Mus musculus: one gene and its partners. The protein of the gene in region 7 interacts with the protein of the main gene of each other region in a biochemical or structural test. Links are inferred from orthologs where the notes say so. Each region holds a gene or a part of one and is shown on either strand. Other genes may lie near its edges.

Evidence for each region.
Region 1: of the proteins of Cdk1 (region 7) and Rpa2, one has a biochemical effect on the other in vitro, tested with the Homo sapiens proteins (2 studies listed by BioGRID). The link is inferred for Mus musculus from reciprocal best matches to the Homo sapiens genes CDK1 and RPA2.
Region 2: of the proteins of Cdk1 (region 7) and Hmga1b, one has a biochemical effect on the other in vitro, tested with the Homo sapiens proteins (3 studies listed by BioGRID and IntAct). The link is inferred for Mus musculus from reciprocal best matches to the Homo sapiens genes CDK1 and HMGA1.
Region 3: of the proteins of Cdk1 (region 7) and Ptpn1, one has a biochemical effect on the other in vitro, tested with the Homo sapiens proteins (2 studies listed by BioGRID). The link is inferred for Mus musculus from reciprocal best matches to the Homo sapiens genes CDK1 and PTPN1.
Region 4: of the proteins of Cdk1 (region 7) and Ezh2, one has a biochemical effect on the other in vitro, tested with the Homo sapiens proteins (5 studies listed by BioGRID). The link is inferred for Mus musculus from reciprocal best matches to the Homo sapiens genes CDK1 and EZH2.
Region 5: of the proteins of Cdk1 (region 7) and Wee1, one has a biochemical effect on the other in vitro, tested with the Homo sapiens proteins (5 studies listed by BioGRID, with this or other methods). The link is inferred for Mus musculus from reciprocal best matches to the Homo sapiens genes CDK1 and WEE1.
Region 6: of the proteins of Cdk1 (region 7) and Rgcc, one has a biochemical effect on the other in vitro, tested with the Homo sapiens proteins (2 studies listed by BioGRID and IntAct). The link is inferred for Mus musculus from reciprocal best matches to the Homo sapiens genes CDK1 and RGCC.

The regions. Positions count from the first base shown.
Region 1 is NC_000070.6:132,766,968-132,771,159, reverse strand, and holds the start of Rpa2 (replication protein A 32 kDa subunit), read right to left. Parts: upstream 2,801-4,192; 5' UTR 2,704-2,800; coding exon 2,694-2,703; intron 2,481-2,693; coding exon 2,374-2,480; intron 615-2,373; coding exon 513-614; intron 1-512. UniProt on the Homo sapiens protein: As part of the heterotrimeric replication protein A complex (RPA/RP-A), binds and stabilizes single-stranded DNA intermediates that form during DNA replication or upon DNA stress.
Region 2 is NC_000077.6:120,761,620-120,764,892, reverse strand, and holds Hmga1b (high mobility group protein HMG-I/HMG-Y), read right to left. Parts: upstream 2,100-3,273; 5' UTR 2,005-2,099; coding exon 1,903-2,004; coding exon of another isoform or gene 1,870-1,902; coding exon 1,681-1,869; 3' UTR 501-1,680; downstream 1-500. UniProt on the Homo sapiens protein: HMG-I/Y bind preferentially to the minor groove of A+T rich regions in double-stranded DNA. It is suggested that these proteins could function in nucleosome phasing and in the 3'-end processing of mRNA transcripts.
Region 3 is NC_000068.7:167,930,827-167,935,126, reverse strand, and holds the start of Ptpn1 (tyrosine-protein phosphatase non-receptor type 1), read right to left. Parts: upstream 2,801-4,300; 5' UTR 2,634-2,800; coding exon 2,571-2,633; intron 1-2,570. UniProt on the Homo sapiens protein: Tyrosine-protein phosphatase which acts as a regulator of endoplasmic reticulum unfolded protein response. Mediates dephosphorylation of EIF2AK3/PERK; inactivating the protein kinase activity of EIF2AK3/PERK.
Region 4 is NC_000072.6:47,592,231-47,596,530, forward strand, and holds the start of Ezh2 (histone-lysine N-methyltransferase EZH2), read right to left. Parts: upstream 2,801-4,300; 5' UTR 2,664-2,800; exon of another isoform or gene 2,461-2,663; intron 1-2,460. UniProt on the Homo sapiens protein: Polycomb group (PcG) protein. Catalytic subunit of the PRC2/EED-EZH2 complex, which methylates 'Lys-9' (H3K9me) and 'Lys-27' (H3K27me) of histone H3, leading to transcriptional repression of the affected target gene.
Region 5 is NC_000073.6:110,141,429-110,143,799, reverse strand, and holds the end of Wee1 (wee1-like protein kinase), read right to left. Parts: intron 1,845-2,371; coding exon 1,688-1,844; 3' UTR 501-1,687; downstream 1-500. UniProt on the Homo sapiens protein: Acts as a negative regulator of entry into mitosis (G2 to M transition) by protecting the nucleus from cytoplasmically activated cyclin B1-complexed CDK1 before the onset of mitosis by mediating phosphorylation of CDK1 on 'Tyr-15'.
Region 6 is NC_000080.6:79,298,836-79,303,050, forward strand, and holds the start of Rgcc (regulator of cell cycle RGCC), read right to left. Parts: upstream 2,801-4,215; 5' UTR 2,663-2,800; coding exon 2,614-2,662; intron 2,066-2,613; coding exon 1,880-2,065; intron 1-1,879. UniProt on the Homo sapiens protein: Modulates the activity of cell cycle-specific kinases. Enhances CDK1 activity. May contribute to the regulation of the cell cycle. May inhibit growth of glioma cells by promoting arrest of mitotic progression at the G2/M transition.
Region 7 is NC_000076.6:69,342,913-69,346,412, forward strand, and holds part of Cdk1 (cyclin-dependent kinase 1), read right to left. Parts: intron 3,320-3,500; coding exon 3,163-3,319; intron 2,273-3,162; coding exon 2,149-2,272; intron 1-2,148. UniProt on the Homo sapiens protein: Plays a key role in the control of the eukaryotic cell cycle by modulating the centrosome cycle as well as mitotic onset; promotes G2-M transition via association with multiple interphase cyclins.

The DNA of each region.
Region 1 (4,192 bases), on a different chromosome or scaffold from region 7:
ATATTGTTATTTTACCATTGTGTGTATGTGTGCCATGGCCCAGGGGTCAGAGGCTATTTTAGGGAGCTGGTTCTTTTTCTAATGTAGAATATGGAGGCTGAACTCAGGTAATCAGACTTGTGCTAAAGGCCCAAGCACTTTCACCCACAGAGCACGTCACTTGCTACATACTTTTCGATTAAGCAAGTCTTACTCCTTTTTCTTTGCATATGCGTGAAGGGTATGCACAAATGAGCAGACAGATGAGCAATGCCCTTGCTGGAGGACATTGGCTGTCCAGGTCTAGCACTATTGCTTTTATTCCCTTGAGACAGAGTCTCTCACTGAACCTGGAGCCAGCAAGGCCCTAGGACCCTCCCGTCTCTGAGCTTCGTAGTTACAGGACCCAGGGGAAGCGAGCCTGGCCTTGTACATGCATACGGATCTGATACTGGGCCTCACGCTTGCGCAGACATCTTCCCACCCCTCATATTTCCTATCTCTAAACGGTTCTTCCACAAAATCTTACAGACCTGTGAAATCTCGACATCTCCAATTCTGAACACTTCATCAGTCAGAGTAGCAGAAAGCAGCTGGGATATGGTACAGGGCACAATATGCTGGGCTCGGACTCTCTGAAAAGAAAAAGTACGCACAGTCAACCCAAGAGAGTAACAATCACTCATTTAATATTTCCATGTGCCAAGCACTTGAATATACCACACTCCTGGAATTGCAAAACCAAGTTCTCCTTACTTTAAAAAGAGACAGAAAACAGGGCCAGAAAGTTAACATTTGTTTCATCTTCCTCTCCCTCCTAAGTGCTAGGATTCAGAGTGTGTGCTACTATACACGGCGAATGCCACACTTTTGAATTCAAGCCCACAGGGATCTGATGCTAGACCTCCAGGTGAATATATGTTTGTATCCTATTGTGGGTTCACAAAGAAAAGGTCAGACTAGAGTCAGGACAACATAGGATAGCCTGTCTTTAGAACGCATCCCAGGTGGGGGCTGGTGAGATGGCTCAGTGGGTAAGAGCACCCGACTGCTCTTCCGAAGGTCCGGAGTTCAAATCCCAGCAACCACATGGTGGCTCACAACCATCTGTAACAAGATCTGATGCCCTCTTCTGGAGTGTCTGAAGACAGCTGCAGTGAACTTACATATAATAAATAAATAAATCTTAAAAAAAAAAAAAAAAAAAAAAAAAAAAGAACGCATCCCAGGGCTAGGCAGTGGTGGCAAATGGTTTTAATCTCAGCACCCAGGAGGCAGAGGCAGGTGGACTTCTTGAGTTCAAGGCCAGCCTGGTCTATAGAGTGAGTTCCAGGACAGCCAAGGATACACACACACACACACACACACACACACACACACACACAGACACCCAAAACAAAACAACAACAAGAAAACAACTGTCTCAGAGAGGTAGGGGTAGAAAGAGCACATCCCAGACATAGCAAGAGCAGTGTTCAGGACACCACGGAGACAACAGGGCCTTGTGAAAAGGCTTGAGAAATGACAAGCAGAAAAAGGACTACGAAGATGCTCTAGGTTTCTTGATAAAATGGAAGAAGTTAGAAGTATAGCTTCTTTTAGGAGATATTCTGGCAACCAGATGGCAGTCTCTGCAGAAAACCTGGTGAGTTTCGTCAAGCTGCTCATCTTTGGGCATCTTAACAGGAGAGTCAGATGGAGTGGGCAGAGGAGCATCTAGCAAAGACACTTGCCTCTCAAGCCACCTACGAGCAATGTAGTTTGTTTGTTTTTTAAGAAAGGATCTTTTTGGGCTGGAGAGATGGCTCAGCGGTTAAGAGCACTGACTGCTCTTCCAGAGGTCCTGAGTTCAATTCCCAGCAACCATACGGTGGCTCACAACCATCTGTAGTGGTATCTGATGCCCTCTTCTGGTGTGTCTGAAGACAACTACAGTGTACAGGCAGGTGGATCTCTGAGTTCCAGGCCAGCCAGAGCTACAAACACCTCCAAAACACTTGGTCATACAATGAATATGTACGAGGCAGAAAAAGCCCAGCAGATTAAGGCTTAGCGTGTCCTTCCTGTCAGTTACCAACAGGAAACAACCCCAAACCTGTTCTGAACACAGTGGACTCTTGTTCTTCAGGGATTTTTGTGCCCTGGGGACAGCGATATTAAACTCTACTAAAGCATACTTTCGAGTGGTAGGGCCAGGAAAATGGAGGCCGGGCGAACCACTGCAGGCTTGCCAAACAATAAAATAATAAAAACCCTGTTCCCCACTTGACCATACAAAAGACAAGGTAGGTAACGGACAGCTTCTGACACCTTGGGGTGTGCCACCCTCCCGCACGAAAACACGTTCCCTCCTGGCCAGGACACAAATGAGAACGGAGCCGTCAGTCTACGTACCGATTTCTTCTCCGCCTGCGACGGTGTGGGCGACCCGAAGCCACCGGGGGACTGCGTGTAGCCGCCTGCTCCGCCATAGGTGGAGCTGCTGAAGCTTTCGAATCCGCCTGCGGGGAACGACCGTCGTCAGAGTCTGCGCTGCGCTCCCCATCTCTATACCTGGCGACCGCTGTCCCCACCGCCCCAGCCGCGACAATCCCCCTGCCACCCCGCGAACGCCGCCGAGCCCGCCTCGGGCCTCTCGCTCCGTCCCGGCCTTCCTGCGCCAGACTCGCCCACTCCCAACACCCTCGCGTGACTCTCCCCACGCCCGCCATTACTATTCCACATCCTGGTCGCAGTTCTCCGGAGAGAGCGGCCCAAGACGCTCGGACACGAAAACTAAGAACACTTGGGAACTCTGTGCCGCTCTGGCGTGGCAGCCTTCTGGCTACTTTGCACTGGCGCCACAAACTCCTTCCCGCGAAGGGACAGCCAATCAGCGCCCTGGACACATTTACCTTCAGCCAATCAGAACTCATGAGTCCCCTCCTTTTTTTTTCGGTATCAAGGCCAAGCTTAGGAAAAACACCCGGCCCCAAGAAGGAATGGAAGCATGCGCGGCCATCTTTACTGAGGGCAAATTTCCGATAGGACAGTATTCAAGAAAACAACCAATCAAAACGATACTTCCGGGGCCATCCTCAAGCATTCTTCACACACACCCCATCTCCGTCGCATGCAACCCTACATCACTTCCGCCGCTCGCTAGCCCCCTTTTCCCGCCAAACTGCTAGTTTTCTGCTCTTCCAGAACTCCCGAGTTCAATTCCCAGCAACCACATGGTGGATCACAACCATCTATAATGGGATCTGCTGTCCTCTTCTGGTGTGTCTGAAGATAGTGATATTGTATTCATAAATAAATACCTGCGTGATGGTGGAAGGAGAGGCTCAACTGTTAATCCCACTGAAGATGAGTAGAAATGATTAAACAATTTTTGGTCAAATTAAGCAAGCTTAATTTTGTCAGAGATGGCTATCTCGCTAAACTGGGGTTTTGAGAAAACAGCATCGCCGGGCAGTGGTGGCACAGACCTTTAATCCCAGCATTTAGGAGGCAGAGGCAGGAGGATTTCTGAGTTCGAGGCCAGCCTGGTCTACAGAGTGAGTTCCAGGACAGCCAAGGCTACACAGAGAAACCCTGTCTCGAAAAAACAAAACAAATACAAAATGAGAAAACAGCATCGAACACAAGAGGTGAGGTTTATATAACCCCCAAAACTGCAAGAATATGGACATTTTCAAGGGTTATGTAGGCACTTGGTCGAACATTTCAGCATTATTTGGCAGAACGTCTATCAGACTGAAATCAGGGTATAGGGTGTGGAACCTGTCGAAATTCAGAAAGTTGGTCAAGACCTGGTCAAATTAAGTTTTATAGAAAAGAGGAATGGACTTATTTTGGTAGTATGATAAGATGGCTTCAGAACTTAAGGTGGAGTCAGGCTGCTCCATCACAACTCCTACAAGTTGTCCTCTACACACACACACACAAGCACACACTCCAGCACACATGTTCATACGCACACACAGGCTTGTATCCAGGGCATAGATAACATGTTCATGTTTTCAAAGAAAGAAACCCTACCTGGGGGAGGGGTTGGCACACGCCTTTAACCCCAACACTTGGGAGGTGGAGGCAGGTGGATCTCTGTGAATTTGAGGCCAGCTTGGTCTACAGTGTGAGTTCTAGGACAGTCAAGGCTGCACAGGGAAACCCTGTCTTGAAGAAAAAAAAAAGAAAACAAACAAAAGAAACCTCATGGCCATACATGGCC
Region 2 (3,273 bases), on a different chromosome or scaffold from region 7:
CTGTGAGAGGGTCTGACACAGCAGTGTAGCGGGAAGGAAGGGGCAACCTAAAGAAGGAATCTGAATTTTCAGCAATGAGATGTGGAGTCTTGAACCCAGGGCCTGAGAGCATACTAAGCCAACGGTGCCCCATCAGTGATGCTCGGTGATGTGAGCCACACCCTCGGCCCAGGGCAGTGAGATTGCTGGGTTTGGAATTATCTGGACAGAAGCATCAGCTTGGGACTTTTTGTTTTGTTGTTATAAATGAAGGTAGTGATGTGATCTAGCTGGAGCAGGCACACTGGATTCCAATGCCCAGGGACCCAAGAACCCACCATGCCTGCAGTGTGTCTAGAGAGTCCCCTGGCTGTTCCCCTCAATCTGTTCCTCCCAGGTGCCCCTCACCTGCTGCCCCGTACCAGCCAGGAACTCCGCCTTTGGCAGAGACACTGAGGCACCGTCTTTACTTTGAGGCAGGACTCTTGTAAATCTTTTTTTTTTTTTTTTTTTTTTTTGACTGTCCAGAAAAGGCTATTTGTTTTTTATTCAAGTAACTGCAAATAAGAAACCAGGGAGGAAGCCCCAGGCTGGGACAAATACTGGCCACCCCTCCCCCACAGAACAAGGGGAGGTGGCCCTACACCCTTTTCCCATCAAAGTGGGCCCCCATCCTCACTCTGCTGCAGCATCCACGGGGTGGGGCCCCATCTTCCTTAGTGTGGGGTAGGTAACCAGTCTGCTGCGCCCCAGCCCCCCTTCCCCTCGAGTGTATTGTGTGGGGGAGAGAATACAGGCAAATTCAGGAGGATGAACATCTGACGCTGGTAGCAGCAGCAATAGTGGGTATCTAAGAATGAACATGGAACAAAAAAAAAACAACACAACCGTCCAGAGGTAGTTTGTGAACAGAGGAGAAGATGGAACCAGAACCATGGGGGGCAGGGAGGAGCGAAAAGGAGGGGGCGGCAAGGCTAGCTCCTTAGTGCCCTGCGGGAGGAAGGAACAGCCTAGAGTGGACTGGGGGAGGCGTGTTGGTGCCCGTTTGCCTTTGGTGGAGGCGAGAACAGGCCCTTACTCTGGAGATGGGCGGTAACCCCATCTGTCTAGTCTCAGGTGAGAACATTAAAGTGGGTGGAGCCAACATCATCCTACTTCCTGTTGTCAAGGGGCTCAGCCAACCCAGTGCATGATCTCTGTAGGGTGGGGCAGGAGGGGCTGAGAAACCCACCCGGTGATACTTTGGTGGGGACATGCTGGGATCTAAGCATCCCCTGCCCTGACCACACTGCTGCTGCTAGGTCAGCCACTGGGCCTTGTCAGAGTGAGATGGGGCCGGGGCCCCTTAAGGCCAGGGAATGCTCCCAGGACCCTCTACGGGGAAGCCAGGAACAGCAGGGCAGAAGGGACCCGCAAAACAAAGCGCCCAGAGAGCCACGGCTCTGAGGGAGGTGCGCAGCAGGCCGGGCTGCGGCTAAATGGGAAGTTAGCCTTGTCAGGATGGGGCAGGTGTGTTCGGGAGGAGGGCACAGGGACTGAGCCGAATCCTGCTCCCTTGGGTGCTGCGGAGCAGAGCCTGCAGCTGGTGCCTGGTGCGGTAGTGTGCAGTGGGGGCGGGGAGGGGCCTGGGAGCAGGGCTTCCAGTCCCAGGGGACAGCTGCTCCTCAGTGGCTATGGAGCAGGCGGCACTGCGAGTGGTGATCACTGCTCCTCCTCAGAGGACTCCTGGGAGATGCCCTCCTCTTCCTCCTTCTCCAGTTTCTTGGGTCTGCCCCTTGGTTTCCTCCCTGGAGCTGTGGTGACTTTCCGGGTCTTGGCGGCGCCCTTATTCTTGCTTCCCTTTGGTCGGCCCCGAGGTCTCTTCGGAGTTGGCACTTCACTGGGCTCTTTCTGACTCCCGACCAGCGCCGTCCCAGGACTCACCGGAGGCTGCTTGCGTGGCCTGCCCCGGCCTCGCTTCTCAGTCCCATCCTTTTCCTGCTTGGAGGCCAGGGGCTGGCTGGACTTTGAGCCCGACTCGCTCATTCTCCTTCTCTATGTGTGGGGCAGCACACAGTGAGTGCCTTCTTGGAGCCGCGCCAACACCAGAAATAGCCCCGACTCGGAGTCCCAATTAGAGGCGACTCTTGTAAATCTAAGCATGGATTCTGGGGTTTCCTGCCCCAGTTGCAAACCCTGAGTACCTCTGTGCATCTCCTCTTCTCTGAGCAGAGACCTGGTTCTTTGGAGCCAGTTAGGAGTAATCAGAGAATATTGTGCACCTCAACCCGTGTCTGGCGATTGTTTGAGGTGTGCTGAGGGTCTCTTGTCTTGTGTGTCAGGGTTCATGGAACAAGTACTCACGATCCAGTGAGTCATAGCAGGTCACACGACATCTGGGCCGGGCAGGAGGCTCAGATGCCTCATGGACAGCCCTGGGGAGGAGGTGTGCTCAGACTGCCGCCTTTCCCTTGCTCAGTCCAGGCTCTGCACTGAGACCGTGTGAGTCGCTGAAAGGAGGCAGCTGTACTTCCAGTGCTCTATAGTGCAGGGACAGCAGTACCCTTCCCCTGAGCATTCCTCCGCACTGGTCAGAAGGGTGCTCTGGGACCTTCCTGTGGCTCAGGGGACAGCATACACAGTGGGGGCCCGGAGCCCAATCATTTGCTGCTGCCTGGCAGTTTCCTCATAGCTAACAGGGACAGATCATGCCTGCTCACTGTGTCCTTGATCCCAGTCTGAGCAAACCACCAAGTCCTATAGCCAACCTCCAGGTGGCACTGAATACTGGTGTCTGGCCTGATCTATCCAGTAAGATCAAAGCCCTTCCCCTTCTATGACAAAAGCTGTGGATTGTGACCAACCTGCTGTCTGGTGGCCATCGGAACTCCTGGGAAATGGTGGCCTTTCAGGGATGCCAGTTGGCCACCAGGCAGGAGGAAGTGGTTTACCAGGAAGGGAGCATCAAGCTCCAACGTCTTGGGAAGACAGTCATCTGCTAGCTTCGCCCTTAGGAGCGCATTTCTCCTAAGATGTCTTCACCCTCCACAGCTCCTGCTCTATCTCCTGTCACCTATGTTGTCTGAAGACTTCTCTATCCAGAGTCATGTGCTGAGCCCTAACTACAACATTATGTGAGGACTGTTGTATAACAGTTTCCTTTGAAATTAAAACACCCCATCCTGCATGGAAGTTCCTTAAGTAGGGATGCAAACAACTCATATAGTTTCAGGAAGTTCCTGAAACTGACCAATTTCACAAGATCCCTTGCTGTCAGGGTAAGCAACAAAAGCTGAGAGTCTCTCTCAGACAAAC
Region 3 (4,300 bases), on a different chromosome or scaffold from region 7:
AGGAGGATTTCTGAGTTGGAGGCCAGCCTGGTCTACAGAGTGAGTTCCAGGACAGCCAGGGCTACACAGAGAAACCCTGTCTCGGAAAACCAAAAACCAAACCAAACCAAACCAAAAAAAAAAAAAAACAACTCAACCCTTTTATTTTCCACCAATCGTAAACATATTTTCTTTAAGCTGAAACAAAAGGTTTAGAGAAATTATCCTTTATATTAGAAAAACAGCTTTAGGTCATTCACTCAAGGTCATTCAAATACTGGTTTTAAAAAGTGGCACAATTGAAGCACACATCTTTGATCCCAGCACTCTGGAAGCAGAGGCAGGAAGATTTCTGAGTTGGAGGTTAGCCTGGTCTGCAAATGGAGCCCCAAGACAGCCAAGGACTGTTACATATAGAAACCTTGTCTTGAGCAAAAAGCAAAAAGACAAAATAAAACAACAACAAAATGCTCACAACTGTAAGTCAAAAGGCTACTTTTAAAATGTAAAACAGGAGCACTTCCATAACCATCTTCAAAACTACAAATATGCAGGGTGGCACACTCCTTTAATCCCTGCACTCCAGAAACAAAAACAGCCTGATCTCTGAGTTCAAAGCCAGCCAGATGGTCTACAGAGCAAGTTCCAGGACTGCCAGGGCTACACAGAGAAACCTTATCTCTAAAAAACAAAAAGAAGAGAGAGAGAGAGAGAACATAAAACCTTCACACTGGGGAACCAAGGGCACAAGCACTTGTGAACAGGCTGTGCGGACCCTGGCATCGTACTTAACTTGTGGGGCTTACTATTACTATTACTAGCAATTTACTAACGTGTGGGGCTTAAGTGTGGAGGAGAAATTGGAGAAGAATGAAGAAAACAGATTTCAAAGCCAGCCCACTCTGCGCCAGCTTTAACAAGGCTTAGATGTCGGGGCAGGCCACTCTAACCTAAAAGCGTAAAAAACCACATTCTACCATAACTTATTAATGATGCCAATTTGTTACCAAATAAGTCTGTCTCAGTACTAAAGATTCAACGGTCTCCACTTGGGACGGTCTGTTTAGCCAACAACCTCCACACATCAGAGTGGCTTACAGAACAATCTTCACGTGCTGTTGTTACACTGGGATCCCCTTGCATTTAATCTGATACAGAAAATCTGCCCACAGACCTGACTCCTTAGTGGAATCTGTCCAGCCAATTCATAGACTAGACGTGCAATACAAATGTTACAATTGATCGCTCGACTGACACAGATTACACTAGCTACAAATATCTGCCCCCCAAAAAAGCTGACGAGCACACCGAGGCCCAAGTAAAAAGAACCCTGTCAAAGAATCTGGAAACCAAGGCAACCCCCCAAAAAAGGTTTTGTCAGTCAAGAACACCAAACAACAGCCTGAGGGTGCCTACTTTCCTAAGTGAAGCTCAAAATAGATTTCAATTTCCAGCTGATGGGTCTCACCCGCTGTCTTTTGAACCTAGAAGCTGAAAGCAGAATAAACCGCCTGCTCTCTTTACCCGAGGAACAGGATCTATTTTGCACATGCTTATTTAAGATGCCTGGCGAGTATGGTTAATCCTCACAACCCCCGCACTGACATTTAATCGGAAGATTTGTTTTCTTTAGAGGACTTAGCTGCTTGCAAAGACATCTTTGCATTTTCAATTCACTGTTTCATACATGGCGGGGGGTGGGGGGGAGAACCCTACTTTCATAATACTTTTTTTTTTTTTAATGAACCACCAGAACCCCTCAAGTGGACCGGATCACAGAAAACAGAAACCATCTCAGCTCACGGTCAAAGGATAAAAGACAAAAGAAAGAGGCCATTTGGAGAGGGTCAGGCAGCTATAGGAATGGGTTCTGTGTCCCCCTAGTTAGTCGCCTAACCTCATGGCTTGTCACTCCTTGGTCTATTCAAAGAGCAAGTCTCCTTCCCTGTCGAGCCGCTAGCAGCCCTGCCGGTGATGCCCTAGACAAGGCAGCCCCTTTGCGTACAGTCACCCTCCACCAGAACAGGTCTTTCTCTTCTCAACACTTGTCACCAGATGCAATGATCAGTATTTGAATGTCTGTGTGACTATAGCCTCTCGGGGGGGGGGGGATAGGTTAGGTCTACGGTGGCGTTCAATACACACCAGCTCCAAAGCCTAGCACCGAAGAGACCCTCCAGCTCACGTCTAACAAATGAATGGACAGGAAGGAGTAAGGGGGCTGTCATCCCCGGGCCTCCACCACCGCACACCGAGGCCCGAGGAAGTGAAATGTGAGGGGGCGGGGGTGTCGGCGAGCCCACCCTCCTCCCCAGGAGACAAAGGAAGAGGGCCTGAGGTGGTCCAGTCCAGACAAGGAAGCGGCAGGGGTGTGGACCAGTGGGGACAAAGGGTGGCTGGGCCATGTTGGGGTCGGGTTTGCGGGGGGAGCTCGAAGATGACAGGGACCGCGGAGAGATAGAGGCGAGTGGGGGTGTCGCAGGGGCCGCGAACCCCAAGAGGGGTCTAGGGCGACGAGGATGCGCGACAGGAGTCCCCCGAGCCGGGAGGGTCGGGGAGACGGCGCGGCCTAGGGGCCCCCGGCTCCGCACCTGGTAAATAGCCGCCCAGTTCCCAGCCTTGTCGATCTCCTCGAACTCCTTCTCCATCTCCATGGCGGGACGGGTCGGCTGCCCGAGTTCCCACGGCCGTCCGCCGCGCTAGGCCGCGTCGCTCCGCGTCCCGAAGCCCGTCACCCGCCACCACCGCAGCCCCAAGCTCCCCAGCAGCGGCTTCTGCATGTCAAGCCGGCAGCCGGAAGTACGCACCCCCGCCTCACCGCGAGCTCCGCCCTCTGTACGGGAGGACCAGTCAGCTAGCGAAAAGGCGGCCGGCACTTCCGCGGGGGCGGAGCGGTAGGCGGGGCATCGCGGACGAGGCCCGAACCCGAGGAGCAGACTTGCTGCGCGCGCCGCGTGCGGCTTCCCGGGTTCCGCGCTCCGGAGGGCGCGCGCCCGTTGCCCAAGCGACCCCCGGCGGCGCGCCCACGGCGCGTGGGCCGAGGCGGGACTCGGGGAGTATCCTGAGTTCGAGCCTCAAGCCCGCCGGTTGAGTCAGGCGGCGAGGGCGTGGCCTCGAGCTGGGCGGTTGAGTGGGAGCGGCGTTTCCTGTCCCGGTCTGTTTTTCTTTTTTCTTTTTTTCCTTTTTGTCTTGGTTTTTCCAGACAGGGTTTCTGTGCGTAGCCCTGGACGTCCTCACATTCACTCTGTAGACCAAGACTGGCCTCGAACTCATAAATCCGGCTGCCTTTTTCCCGAGTTCTGGGATTAAAGGTGTGTGCCATCACTTCGGGCTCCGTTCTTTATTTTTAACTCAGGGTCACGATATTCCAGGCTGGCCTCTCACTTGCTGTCAGGCCAAGGATAACCTCTTATTTGCTGTCAGGCGAAGGATGATCCTCTCGCCTCCATCTCCCACGTCTTGGAATCACAGACATGCATTGCGGGGGATAAACCAGAGCTCCGTGCATGCTAGGACCTACTCCGGCCACATCCCAGCGAGCAGAGTGTTCGTTTTAGACAACGAATCACTCTATAGCCCGAGCTGGCCTGGAGTTCACTACGTAACCCAGGCCAGCCTCCAGCTCTGGATCTGCCTGCCTCAGTCTCCGGAGTTTTGGACAGGTGCTAACACCCAGCTGGCCACTCTGCTCTCATGAAACTTGGGAAAGTCCATAAGAGTTTTTACCCTGGCAGAATGAACGGATGGGACATGTGGTGCTAGTTTTCTGTCTTTCTCCAGTATCAAGAAAATCCTGACCAGATGTGGTGGCACTTGCCTTTAAACTCTCCAGGTAGAAGCAAGGGGTCTCTGAGTTCCAGGCCAGCCTGGTCTACATCGTTCCGGGACAGCCAGTTATACAGTGAGACCCCTTCTCAAAACAAAAAAACAACCAAAAGGGAAAAAATCTTCCTTGGGGTTTGTTGGTGACTCATAACCATCCTAACTCTAGTTTCAGGCCGTCTTCTGACCTTCAAGGGCACAGGGTATACATGTGATACCATACTACTGTACATACATGCATACAAAACCATCATACAAATAAATCTAAAAACATGTTTAAAAGAAAAAAAAAATCTTCCTCTCTGATGTCATCTGGGTGCAGATTCTGTGGTTTGTTCAGACTGCCCAGGGTGAGCACTGAATGTTGGTTCCGATGCTTGGGTTCCTTGAAGTATGTGTGAAGGATGGGATTGCCTTCCCTGGGGAAATGTAACTGGAACATGGAGTTGTAAACTTCCATTCTGGGATAGAAAGGGAGACATAGGTAGGAGCCGTGTCC
Region 4 (4,300 bases), on a different chromosome or scaffold from region 7:
CTGAGACTTCTGGGACAACATCTCTAAAATAAAGCACATACTCTGATGGACCTTTCTCTGAATTTAATGAATTGTTCCTTTCTACCCATGTTCCACCGTAAAGATTCTACCAACCTATAACTACTATGGAATGTACTGAAAAATTCACCATCTACACTGACATAAAGACTTCAAAGCTAATCTATAAACCATTTCTATAGCCCATAAATCATTTTATCAGCAGAGAAATTTTCCTTTGTTCGTTTTTTTAAGGCAAATCAACTTTCTTCATTATTATTTAAAGGCTAGTAATAAAATAAATCTAAACTTCTTGAGCATATGACTTCAAAGGATAAAGGACAACCTAAAGCAAATGAATTTTGGTGTGATTTGGAAAATCTGACTAAAACCTTTACATAGCCAACACAAAAATAATCACATGTATCCATGCAAAAGAATATCAGTACCAAAAAGAACACTTCTAGCTACACATGTCAACAAGTGGCTTTTTCTATCCCTATTTAGACTTCTTAAACATTTCTCATTTCTACCGAAACATAAGGCAATATTTTCAACCAATTCTTCAGAGAGTTAAGGAAATATATGTGGCAAGTACAAAACAGCAAATGTCAACTACAGGAAAAAATCACATATTCAGGCAAAACTGAATTGTTAAATTCTAAACTAATTTTCTACCAAAATTCTATACAACTAGCTCACCTCATAATGAATGAGATTATCAATAGGATTTTAATGTAAACATAAACCTTATGCTACAATCTCAACATTTAGAGCTGCACCTGGAATGTCTATTCTACGATGCTCCTGCAAATCAGAAACAACAGAAATTTGACACTGCATTTCTTTGTCTCCATTCATATGAAACCGTAAATTAGCAGATGTACTTTAGGTCTTCATTAGATGAAACAGTGCAACAAGAGTCTGTTCTTTTGGTTTTTTTTTGTTTTTTTTTTTAAGAAATATATTCAAAACCCATCAAAATTAGAATATAGGATGCAATTTTCCTAAGTTTTCCTAATGCAATTTTCATTCTCTAGTACACCTCTCCAAAGAGAAAAGGCAGGATTCTTTTCGTTTAAGACCAGAATCCAATCCGTTTCCAACTTGAGAATACAAGAACAGGAAATTAAATATAACCTAAATATTTCCACATTCTTCTAAGTAAAATTGACTTTTATTCCTGAATATGAATTCACTGCTAATATTCATTAATAAAAAGTAATTGAAAATACATTTTTAAATCGCCAAAAATATAAACTACATTCAACTGTGACAGCATTAGTATTTTTCAAATGTTTTATGTGCCATTAAAAACCCATAGAATTAAACTGATAACGACTTTCCTGAAACTGAAAAGGCGTTGTAGCGTTGTTGTACGGTATTTTAAATATCAAAGACAAATTTTTACTTCAGATGAATTTAGATTCTACAGATCCTGTTAATAAGCAAAGTAAGTTTCTTTGAATTGTGACAAGAATACACTCGAATTTCTTAGGCAACAAATGCCTTTTCTGACTCACCAAAGCTATTGTTCACGGGAAACGTGACCCACTAAAAAGAAACTGTCAATTCTACAGCGTAAACCCACATTTCTCGTGGGTATTTTATTTCGATCATCTAGTCTTTAACAACCTACCCCTGGAGATTTGGGGAATAATCACTGAGTAAATGACAGTTGATTTCGTTAGCACCTGTCACCATTCTCAAAAGCACACAAGTTGGCCAAAACAGATTTTGTTTTTCTTTCAGGTTTTGGTCCTTTAGAAAGTAGAACTCACAAGACATTCACCAAGTTTTCCGAAAGCCCGTGCTTTCTCAATTTCTCCCATTTTCAAAAAGTAGCCCTGAAGCATACGATCTGGTGCGTGCAAGGGGGGCTGTATAATGAAGTGAGAGAAGGAAACACAGCTGGACTCTTCCATCGAACTTAGCACAAAGCCAGTCGAGGACACTAGCAGCCCGAGGCAGTGGGAGACTCCCGGCTCTCGGGGAAATGTCAGCCGCAGGGCTAAGGGAGTTCCCACATTGTGCACGCAGTCCCGCCTTAGCAAGGCCCGGCGTTAGCCGGTCGCCCCCAGCAGGGCCAGGCAAGGACGAGCCCTGCCCACTCGCGCTCGCGTCGCGCCTCCCCACGCCCCCACCCGCGCGGCGGGAGCCCCGAGTGTCGCGTCCTCCCCTCCCCTTCCGAGACACAGTCTGTCCTTTGTCTGAGTGCAGACTCTCGACTCGGTCCCACCAACTTGTGTGTAAGTCCCGTCCTACCCGGGCGCTCCCGCCTCCCAGCCACACAAAGAAGACTTGAGGCTCAGCGCTGCCGGCCCCGATCGGCCACAGGAACGCCCCCAGCCCCGGCCAGGCGGGACCAGGCTCCGGGACAGAAGCCCCCACTCCCGGCCCCCGCCCGCCCGCGTCTGCCGGAATCCACAGTTCACTCGTGGGACCGCGGGGACCGCCACACACCTCACGACCGCTCAGAAAGCTGTCCCCTAGCCCTCCCTCCGCGCCTACAAAAGCGGCGCTCGAGTGAGACCCGCTTGGGCGATGCCGAAGACTGGCCAGGCACCCGCGCGGAGGTCCCGCGATCGCCGCCGCCGCCGCCGCCGCCCCGGGGCGCGTTCCAGATCCCTGACTGCCGACCACCGGCGGCCGACGGCGCGGACTACCTTCGTCCCGCGCGCCAGCCCGCGCCTCTCCCGCGCGTCGCCCCCAACCCGCCGCCACCGCCACCGCCGCCGCCGGGACTCCACTGCCTTCGATGTCCCACTGGGTGTCGGACGCGACCGGACCGAGCGCCAAACGCAGCAACCCAATCGCCATCGCTTTTATTTGGCCCCCCCAGCACTATCAAGCGCCTCTCCGATTGGAGGATGCGAGAGGGCGCCCGTCCAATCAGAGGGCCGAACGGGCTGGGAGCCTTCGGAGCGAGCTCCAGCCCTGGGAGCGCGAGGCTCACCAGCGCGTGCGCGAGTGACAGGGCTCGCTCTGAGGAACGCGGCTTGCTGGGTGGAAGCACCACAGTCGCTGTCTTTGTTCTTTTGCCAACGTGCGGTACCTCTCAGGAAAGCCATGGACAGGCAGGCGGAGGCCGGGCACTTGGCGGGACCCGAAGCCCGCTATGGGCAGGAGGCGGGGAGGTCGGGATGGCGGGAACCGGCCGGGGGGCGGGCCAGCTCTTGGCGGGAATGGGCGCTGAGTGGTTCTCGGGAGGGGGAGGGGAGGAGACGGGCGGGCGCCTGAGCCAAGTTTGAAATAGTTCAAAACTCGGGTTGGTAACGGTCTTAACCGCCCTCTTCTCCGGCGTGCCATACTGGGCCCGGGGTCCAACACTTTTGTTGGCGCCACTGAAAGGAAGGCGTGTGACCGGCCCCACAGGGGATTCAATGCGGGGCGGCCCTCGCTCCTCACGGAGAGCACCAGTAGGCAGATAAAGTTAGTGCGGTTCCTTTCGGCACCTTGGAGGCTTTGGCTAGCAAAACTGGTGCCTAATCCCCTGACGACGGAAGAAAAGGCGACCAGATTTCTCTGAAAGGCCTTCCAAGCTGCGTTTATGGTTCTTAGCACTTATCAAGGTTTCAAGTTGTTTATTAACAACTTTTGAGAGCAAATAGCTCACCCCATGTTTTCTCAGCAAAGTGTAAGGAGTTTGCAACATTTGTCAATGGCATCTTGGGAGTCAACCTTTCTCCCCGAGGAATAGAAATGAGCTGCTTATACAGTACGCAGCCCAACCCCCACTCCCTGTTCAGTTATCTGGCAATGAGGTGAATAATGGTATTTCAAATTTACTTTTAATAAGATGCATCTGAATGGCAAAATCCCACAGACCTGTGAAAACAGGTTCAATAGTGAAGAGTTCAGACTGAGAATTTGTAACACTCTGGAAGTTATGTATCTGTATTGGTCGTGGTTCTCTAGAGGAACAGGTTGAATGAATGAATGAATAAATGAATGTATTCATTCCTTCACTGATAGAATGGATAGAGAACTGAGAATGAATATGTATATAGATTTTCAGAATATATAGAAAGAAGGAATATATACATAATCCTTCACTGGCATTAGAGCACACATCTTCTGGCTTCCTTCAGCCAAAGACACCCAGGCTTGTAGACTCAAGAACTAGCGGATTCTTGGGTTTTCCGTTGGTAAACAGTAATTGTTGGACTAGCTGGACCTACAGCCTGTAAGCCACTCTAATAAACTAGTGTGTGTGTATGTAAGCGGAAAATTCAAGAATCCACTAGTTCAGTTCATAAGCTGGGATGCCTTCAGCTGAACTTCATTATACACCTGAAATTCG
Region 5 (2,371 bases), on a different chromosome or scaffold from region 7:
TAAAAGTATGTTGGGTTGGATGTTTAGAGGAGTGCTTGACAAGGGCAAGGCCCTGGGTTGTCTTGCGTGTAAATGTACACACAAGCCAGTCTCTTAACACTATAAGCTTTTCTGTGGTTCAGACTAGTTTAGAAAGCTAGGAGTTGCATATTTTATCCACGTCAGCTGAACCTTTAAAATTGTACCTCATTTCCAGTGTCACGTGTATTAACATGTGATATGCTTAGATGTATTATTTATATTGGTAATAACAAAACTTTCCTAGCATGGACGAAAGCACATCTTTAGTTCCATCACGATAGGTACTGGAGTTCTAAGTCTAGCACTAGGGTGGCAAGGGAGGCAGCTAAGTTTCAGGCCACCCTGGACTATAAGGTGAGAGCCTGTTTCAAAGAGCCAGCAACAACGAGGAAGTGCACTCTGCTCTTAGCAAGTTATATCTATTTATCCACATTCTGTAATGAGCAGTGAGGAGTATAAAGTAGAAAACAGGCACCGTGAAGATTTAGACAATTAAGGTAAGCACGGAATGACTTTTAATACACCAGACAATGTTAATAAGACACAAGTCAAACAGACAAGTGCAAATGTGTTTCAGACCAAAGTTAATAGGAAAACAAGTGAGACATTTCCCTCCTTTTGGAGGGCAGCATCTACTAGCCAAATATTGTTAGTCAAATGGCTATTCACAGGTAAAATGTATTTTGTGGAAAACTTGGAATAGTCAGAAGTCATTCTGGTATTTTTAAACAGCTATGTACAGTATTACCAAGATCAGTTTATATACACAAATATTGAAGAGAAACTGGGCAAAACATTTAAAAATAGGCTAACCATACAACCAAGTACAAGACTTGACAGGAGGAAGGAAACATGTTTTAAAGACAGGGGACATTATAAGAAAAATTTACAAAACCAGTAATAATTATACTACATTAATACAGCATTCAAACAGGGAGGGGTAGGTGCACTTTTTCAATGCAGTAGCTTCAAAGTCCAAAGAAAAAGATGCGAAGCTGCTTTTCATGAAGAGCAGCTATATATTTCACATAATTGTTCTGAAAGAAAGCCTATTAACAACAATGATTGTTTAATGCTAGTTTTACAGCAAGAGGAAACTAAAATAGCAGCAAATTCACAAGGCAAGGCCTCCACAGAATGACCATCCCATGGCGCACACGATGCCTAAAGTGCTCCCAGTTGGATATACAAGTGTAATTCACATAGAAAAAAGAAACGCAAGACTGACACAGGTACATTGGAGGCAGAGGAGTACTGAGTCTCTGAGCATTTCCCTTTTTGAAGGGAGAGGATGTTCGCAGTAAAGCCCTTGAGTCCTTTCTAGAGGTCACAACCAGGAAAGACACCTTTCACCACACTGCAACAGTGAATGAGAAGCAGCACACCACCACAGTGGCGCACCCCGCAAAGGGGGCTGGAACATCCAACAGTGACCCACATCCTACATGAAACAGACGGGAGATGAGACAAAAGCCTGACAGAGCCAAGTCAGAATACAGCTCTCAACTGTAATTCTCAAAGTCACAGAAGGCGTTACGTTTTAGGAAAACTACTGATACCAATGGGCAAGTAATCACGAAGTGGGCTCTAGCAGTGATTCCAACCTAGCTTCCTCTTGTCACAGTTTTTTCCTTTGAGTGGGGAAGGGCTGGGGAATGTGAGCAGTTCAGTATATAGTAAGGCTGACAGAGCGGTTCATTTTCTTTCCAATAAGTCGAGAAGTTCTATTACTCTGGGTGGTGGATCTAGTGGCCATCCGATCTGTGAAGAGTGCCCGTTCCTCAGCTGCAACTTTGGCTGCCATTTGGGCTTTCTTGAGTTCTCTACAAAAATAAGAAGGAAGCAAGACTTTAATTTACCTACTGCATTAATTCTATGGAAAGAGTCTAAGAAGCCAAATACAAACTCAAACATTGTGCTGGCTAGTTTTATGTCAATTTGAAACAAACTATAGAGTCATCACAAACTAGGAGCCTCAATTGAGAAAATGCCTCTACAAGGTCAGGCTGCAGGCAAACCTGTTTCTATTTATTTATTTATTTATTTATTTTTTTGTTCCTCGAGACAGGGTTTCTCTGTGGAGCCCTGGCTGTCCTGGAACTCACTCTGTAGACCAGGCTGGCCTCGAACTCAGAAATCCACCTGCCTGCGCCTCCCAAGTGCTGGGATTAAAGGCATGGGCCACCACTGCTAGGTGCAAACCTGTTTCCCAATCAGTGATTGGAGTGGGAGGGGCCAACCCATTGTGGGCGATAACTCTTGATGCATTATAATGGTATATGACACACCTGGAGCTGGTGAAAAGATTCATCAGCGATAACACCTGCCACCAAGCCTGACAACCTGAGTT
Region 6 (4,215 bases), on a different chromosome or scaffold from region 7:
CCACATTGACGGCAAAGACCAAGGTCATCTGTGCTTTCTTAGATCCTCCCTGTTACTCTCCAACCACCACAGAAAGAAAGCTTAAGTTGACAACAAAAGCAGAAAGCAAAATGCACAGAGATATGCCTAAGAAAACTGCAAATTCTGTCAATCTTCTCTCCAACTGTTAAGAAACTGTGGTGAATTCTCTTTTTGAGACTCCTAAAAACATACCGTGGATCTGAAACCCCTCCTGGCAGAACTGGTGGGTGCTGTTCGACATCACTGCACAAATTCAGACTCTAATCTAGACTGAGGCTGGGGCTTAGCAAGGAGCTGAACTTGATTACAGAGCATCGGGGACAGACCTAGCCTTCTCTTCTGTGGAGAAGAGAATTTATACACAATGAAAAATTTGTTCCTTGACCCAGTGGAAAGAAATATATTCAAGTTACACCACAGCTGTGGAGAAAAATTTCCAGCGTCAGGCTTCACTTGACTGCTGAGAACAAGTGACCAGGTCATTGGCATCAAGACGCAAAAGTTCTAAATGGAAATGAACAGCTCACCAGCCCTCTTCCCTCCCCCTTCGCCCCCTAAGTCACGTGGTGATCTGTGTAGGTGGCTAAGGAAAATCAAACCAGAGCTTGGGTTTCAGATTCAAATCCTGACCTGGATGTCAAACATCATCCCTTCTCAGGAGGACAGCTCAGGCTCAGAATCTTCACCTAGTAACAAAGGAAAATGTTTCTAGATTTCAAAACAGCAATGTGACTTTTACTCCCAGAGTTGGGGACAGCACAATTGGTGATGTCTGAGCCTGTATCTAGGGACTAAGGGCACAAGAACAAACAGAATTTAAAGTTCACATTGAAAAACAGTGAATAAGCCAAGATTTGAAAACAATTATATAATAATAAATAAAAGGTCACCAAATTCACTGTTCTTGCAGGTCACTTGAGTTACTGAAAACTAACTCTCTCTCTCCCCCTCCCCCTCCCCCTCCCCCTCCCCTCCCCCTTCCCCTCTCCAGAGGCAATGTGGAAAAGGTTACTAGGATGACCTTCTGTGGGTAACCTGGAGGGTGGGCGTGCCTGAAACCCTGTACTTGAACTCAGCAGCCCAGCGGGAGACTGTTTCAAAAGTGCCTGGAGTGGCGAAAGAGCCTGGGAGCTAGGCAGAAAGTGAACGAAGTTATTTCAAGCATTCCAAAAACAGCAGCTTATGAAACCATTTTGGTTTCACAAATGTTTCATTCTTGTGCTCACTCGTGTCCTCATGTTCCCCAACACCCATTCTGGAAAAGGAAAGGGAGGGTGCTGTTGGTCTAGTGTTTGCCTAGCGTGCAAGAAGCCCTAGGTCTGACCCCCAGCATTGCCTATAAACTGATGTGCCTAAATGTGGTGGCATTGCACTGTCACCCCAGCACCCTGAAGCCCGAGGAAAGAGGATCAGAGAGGTTCGAGGTCACCCGCAGCTACATAGATCACCTTGGGAGAGTCTCAAAATAAAATAAAATAAAAAAAAAAAAATGAAGAGCGAAGAGTGGGTAGAAAGGCGGGAAAAGGTTGGAAGGCCTGGCTGGACTCCCAGGAGTTCTGGCTGACTGCACAAACCCTCAGGCCTCATGGTACACACCTGCCGTGACAGGTAGACCCACAGCTCTTTAAGAGCCACCCACCCACCCTCGTACCTCTCTCCCCAAGAACGCCTTAATGACCCCCGCACATCTGGGCTAACGACTCAGAAAGTCAACTCTTCAGGCATCTCAGAGCCGTGCAGATCCCCGGGTCTGACTTTCCCCAGATGTCGTGCCTCAGTTTAAAGATAACCCAGGTGAATCTAGAGCTTTAGGAAGCCTGAGTCTGAGGATTACTGACTTCAACAGGGCTTCACTTACTCTCCGAGTCGCTGAAGCCGCTGCTGTCGCTGACGCTGGCGCTGCTGCGCCGCTTCATGCGCTCTAGGTGCTCCTCATAGTGGAAGTGGCGCTCGTGGAAGGGCGACGCGAAGTCGGCCAGCACCGCGTCGAACTCGCACAGCACGTCGGTCAGGTCTGCAGCGGCCGCGGAGTCCATGGCCGGGGCTAGGGGAGGGAGGGCACAGAGGGCATCTGGAGGGGCGGCCAGCGTTCCCTAGAACTCCACTCTGCCTTTGCCAGTGACAGCCACGCAGTCAGTTACTCCGTAACCTCCCAACCACCCTCTAAAGCGCCTGTCACCAGACACGGAGGAGAAGAAGCCTCCGTGGGTTGAGCTGAAAGTCTGGAAGTCACCTAGCCCACCCCACGCGCTTTCCTACTGTTGCCCACGCTCGCTCCCTGGAGCGCGTGGCGGCGGGAAGTCTGAGTCAGCAGGCACCCGTTACGTGTCAGACTCCGGTTCCTTGTCCCGCGTGGAAAACCAAACTAAACCTGCATCGGACGAGCGATCCGGAGACGGGATGCCAGGGTGATGGAGGACAGAAGGGTGGGCAGTGGAAGAAGACCTTAGCGACCTCTGTTCTCTCGCCCCTACTTGCAGGCTCCAGCTCTCAGGGGCCCCGGAGCTGAGAGTGTAGCTTAGCGTGGACGCAGTCCCTGGCTTCGATCCCGGGGCGCAGAGGTGGAGAAGACACCTCCAAATAGGCACTCACCTGCGGCCGCGACCGCCGCGGGACTGCTCTGCGCTGAGGGCGGCTTCATGGAGAAGTTGCTCAGTGACACGCGTAGCAGAGATGCTGCGAGGTGTTGGCCCTGGTGGCTGCCGCCTGCACTGCAGTCTGCTCCGGTGCCTCTGCCTTGCTCCTTGCCGAGCCTGAGCGCTAGCTACTCGCCTGAGCCGCGCCACCCGCCGGCTACTCCGTCTTATAGCCACCGGCAGGGGCGGGGCGGGGCGGGGCTGCTGAGTAAGTCCCAGACGACCTAGGGGACGCCCCTGTCCCTCCACCCCCTACTCCCGGCACCGCCCTAGCCACGCGCTGGCCTCTGAAGAACCGCAGTGACGGGTGTCGCCGGAGTCCAGGATACCGCCCCAAATATTTACCCGCCGCTTTCTCTACCACCCTGACAACCCGACCCAAGGAAGTGTCTTTGCGGGCATCAGAGTTCTCCAAGAGTTTACCCTGTTTCCCGCCTTCTGGCTGAGCCTCCTTGAGCCTCATCTATGAAATGGAACTGCACATGCAGAAAGCCTCCTTGTTTGCTGCAAAAATAAAGGAGCCAAGGGCCTCAGTAGCCTCTGCAAAGAACCAGTCCTCCATCTGACTTTTCTCAAGGAATTTATAAGGTTGTGCGTGGACAGAGTGGACAGCTGAGGGCAGTGGGTTGAGGTGAATGCAGTCTTCAATTGAGATGATCTTTGAGCGCAGAGTACCACATGGACAGATGCATTCTGGTATAGGGTCCGTATGATTGAGCGTCCATCCTTAGCACAGCCCAGTAGAATTCCTGCCTCAGGTGACCAACAGCCCTTTGCCCCAGGTAGTTATTAAACGTAAAATAAGAGGCCTGCTGGTGGCCTGCGCCTATAGTCCCAGCCCTAAGGAGGATGGTAGAAGGGGGTCTAGGCAAGAGAGTGGAGATTTGAGGACTACTGCATGAAAAGAAAAGAAAAAAAACCCTACATAGTACAATCCTGTCTGTAAAGAGTTTACTGTGCACGCATGAAGATCCAAGTTCAAGCCCCAAAATCCACATTAAAAAATCCAAACTAGATGGACACCACTTATAATCCCAGCCCTGAGAGGCAAAGGCTGGCAAATCCCTGGGACTCCCCAGCCAATCCCAAAGTGAGAACTCCAAGTCAATGAAAAGCTGTATCTTAAAAATGGAGGTGGGCAGTGCCCAGGGAATCGATCACATTTGCGGTTGACCTCTGATCTTGTCCGGCACAACATACGCCTTGTGTGCATATATGCACATGCTACACACACACATACCACACACACACCACACACACACATACACACACACACACACACACACACACACACACACACACACACCACTAAATTAATGTAAAGTAAGGGGCTAGCTGGGGCCTGGGAATATGATTTAGCAATAAAGTGCTTGCCTAGCATGGGTGAGCCCTGAGTCTGAAGGCTCATCCTCAGACCTGCAAAAGAAAATAAATAAATAAATGTAAAACAATCAAAATTGAATAAAGTGAAAGTTTTCAGTCCAGACACCAGACACTTTCTTAACTACACCAGACACTTCCTTAGCTATACTAGACACTTTCAAGTGATCAACGGCCA
Region 7 (3,500 bases):
TGTTAGCTTTCTGTGCAGAAGTTTCCTCAGCACTCGTGTCAACTGTTTCTATCCTGAATAAAGCTGTGCTTTTCCATTTCTGTCACTTTACACGTGCATTTCCTCTTTTGAGACAACAGGAAAATATGTAAAACAGCTTAAACTGGGAATGTGTAAAAGTTTGTTCGTAACCTACTTCTCTAGTGTGTGCATGCCCACACATGTGCACTCTTCAATGTAGGTACCCGAGTGACAGGCAGATATTTCTCATTAAACCTGAAGTTCACCATTTTGATCAAAATGGATGGCCCTGGGACACAACAGAGCCATCCCACCCGCAGCCCCTGCCTCTGTCCTTCAGCCTCTGGGCTTATAGATGTCCACACCACCTCACCACCTCCATGTGGAGCCACACCACCACCTCACCACCTCCATGTGGAGCCTGGGAACCAGAGCTCAGCTCCTCGTGCTTGTGCCATAAGCACTTTCCCTCTGAAATGTCCCCAAGCCTTCCAATCCTAAAGCCAAAGGAATCTTTCCCTATCCATAACTTAAGAAAAGTTAGGAGATAGGAGAGAGCAGAAAAATATTGACATTATTCTAAAACATTTGATCTTATACATTATGGCTTTAACAAAACAACAAAAAAATCATTAAGAATACTCTGCTGGAGAGTTTTATGTCAACTTGACAGAAGCTAGAGTTATTGGAGAGGAAGCTTCAACTGAGAAAATGCCTCCTTAAGTACAGGTTGTAAGCAAGCTTGTAAGGCATTTTCTTAATTAGTAATCGCTGGGAGAGGGCCCAGCTCATCATGGGTGGTGCCATCCCTGGACTGGTGGCCCTGGGCTCTCCACAGCCTCTGAATCAGCTCCTGCCCCCAAGTTCCTGGCCAGGAGCTCCTGTCCTGACTTCCTGGGGTGATGAGCAGTTACATGCAAGTGTAAGCCAAACGGCCACTTTCCTCCTCAAGTTGCTTGCTGAGGCCATAGCCTTCATCTCAGCAATAGCCATACAGTGTGAGCACTGGCAGTGGTGGGCACCACTAGCAAGTCACCGTGTGTTAGTAATAATGACTTTTGAAACCACTGAAATACAGAAAGATGAGTGAATATGTACAGGTTATGCAAAAATGAGTAAACACAATAGTATGTTAAATGTCAAATAGAATAACTGTAATAAAACCCTTCCCATAATACACTGAGACTATTTAAAAGTTACATACAGTCAAGTCTTGGTAACAATGTAATAAAATAGTAATTGATTTTTAGAGGACCTATCAACCATGATCTTAAATATAAACACAGATTTTATCACAGTTCCAAGAAGCCACCTCTAAAATGACATAAAGTGGTGGGTGTGGTGGCACATGCTTATAATGCCCACACTTGGGAGATGGCGGCTTGAGGATGAGAGTTCAAGGCCAGCCTGGGCTGCAGAATGAACCTCCACCACCACTCATGACGACTCACTGCAGCCATCACTAAAGTAGGAAGTAATCTAAGTGGAAATGGTTTACTAGCTGTACAAAGTATTAAACCACTACGAAACAGAGACATGAGAGGCTAACTAACGTGTGCAGTGCACATACAGAAGGATCCCACTGGGTTTAGATGCATACAAAGTCAACGTGAACATCTCAAGGCATGCACAGAGTTCAGTGGAAAAATAAAGCCGGTTTAAGGTGAAGACCCCTTTACCATAGACATTTACAACCTATACCCATTTGCTGAGAATAACACTTGCCCAATTATACACAATGCCCTGGATCCAATACCCGGTACCACACACAAAGAACAATAAATACAATTATAATTTAACTGAAATACAATGTTTACATTAACCAAAGCCTACTTGTCAGAGTAAGACCACTTAGCATCAGCACCGGGCTCAGGCTGCTGTCGCTGATCTGCACATAACCACTGTAGCCTGGCCTGCCCCCAGCAATGTGATACATAAGCCACAGGGTAGCACTTAGGTGCTCAGACGCTACTTCTCACTTCTAGAACCTTCTGGAAATGAGACAGGCAGATGATGATCTCATCCGGTGGAAGGAAGGAAAATAAAATGCTGTCTCTTCCCTTACAGGTTTTCTAAGATGCAGCCACAAAACGCAAGGATGGAGCCCACGTTCAGAGAGCGTATTAGTAAAAGCACGCAACTCTTTACCTTAACGAGTGAAGAATCCATGAACTGCCCAGGAGGGATGGAGTCCAGGTACTTCTTGAGGTCCATGGACAGGAACTCAAAGATGAGATACAGCCTGGAGTCCTGCATGAGCACATCCTGCAGGCTGAGCAGAGCAAGCGTGAGTCCAGCCAGCAGCCTGCCTCCACTTCCAACAGCATAACTGCTAACAGTGACCTTCACTCTCAAGTAGAACTTGAGGACGGAAGTTCAGGACAGTAGTCCACAGCCTCCTCTGCAGGAGGAGCTAGCTCACACCGCCTGCACTCCTAAAGCTGGCTGCTCGAGAAGATTAAAGCTGCTCCCTAGTGCCAGCCCCAGTGCAACAACAGTTAGAACCCAGGGGCAGAGGCAGGTCACGCCAGCTACCAGAGGTGCTAAGTAAGGCAAGGATCTCTAGATGCAAAGGATGGAGTGAGCACAAGGTCACCCTGGGTAATTCTGTGAGTGCTGGAGACTGGGTGCGGTGGTTTAAACCCATAATCCCGGCACTTGGGAGCTAGAGGACAGCAGTAAATTCCAGGCCAACCTGGGTGAGCTAGAGTAATATCCTGTCTTAATAATTTCAAAACCCCATATTAGGAGGCCAGAGGCTACAGCTCAGTGGTAGAGCACTTTCTTAGCTCTACCCAAAGGCCTGGGTTCAGTCCCTCCTACCAACAGAAATTCTAATGAACCACCAGACAACGTCCTCAATGACCCAGCCCAAGCAAGTCAATAAAGCATAGCTTATCTACCTCAGCCTGGCCCCTGGTCTCAGGAGCCTCTGGGGACCTGGGCCCTAAAAGTAGGAGCTAAGCAAGCTCCCCATGGAAGGGGTCCCAGGGCTGTGCCTTGCTCCTCTAGCCAATTCTAGCACCCTGTCTCAAATTCTCCAAACACCATCAGCAAAGCAGGACTCCATCCCACTTGAACCAGAAAGTACATAAAAATTTCTACTTTAAAACAGATGTGCAGCAGCACAGGGAGAGTGGCTTCAGTTCTAACACAGCACACCTGACTATATTTGGATGTCGAAGTTCTTTTAATAGAGAGATTTCCCGAATTGCAGTACTGGGCACTCCTTCTTCCTCGCTTTCAAGTCTGATCTTCTTCATGGCCACTATCTGGCCAGTGACTCTGTGTCTACCCTTATACACCACACCGTAAGTACCTGAAAGAAAGCAAAGAGATTTTCTTCTAAGTTGAACTCTTTGAGTATCACACGAGAGAAATGCCAGCTGCAGTCAGATAGGCCCCTCACATCATTAAACCCTCACTGCTTTCAAAAAGGCATTGAAGATAACTACGATCTAACATATACATGGTTTGGAAATAAAGCCCACTGAGTCATC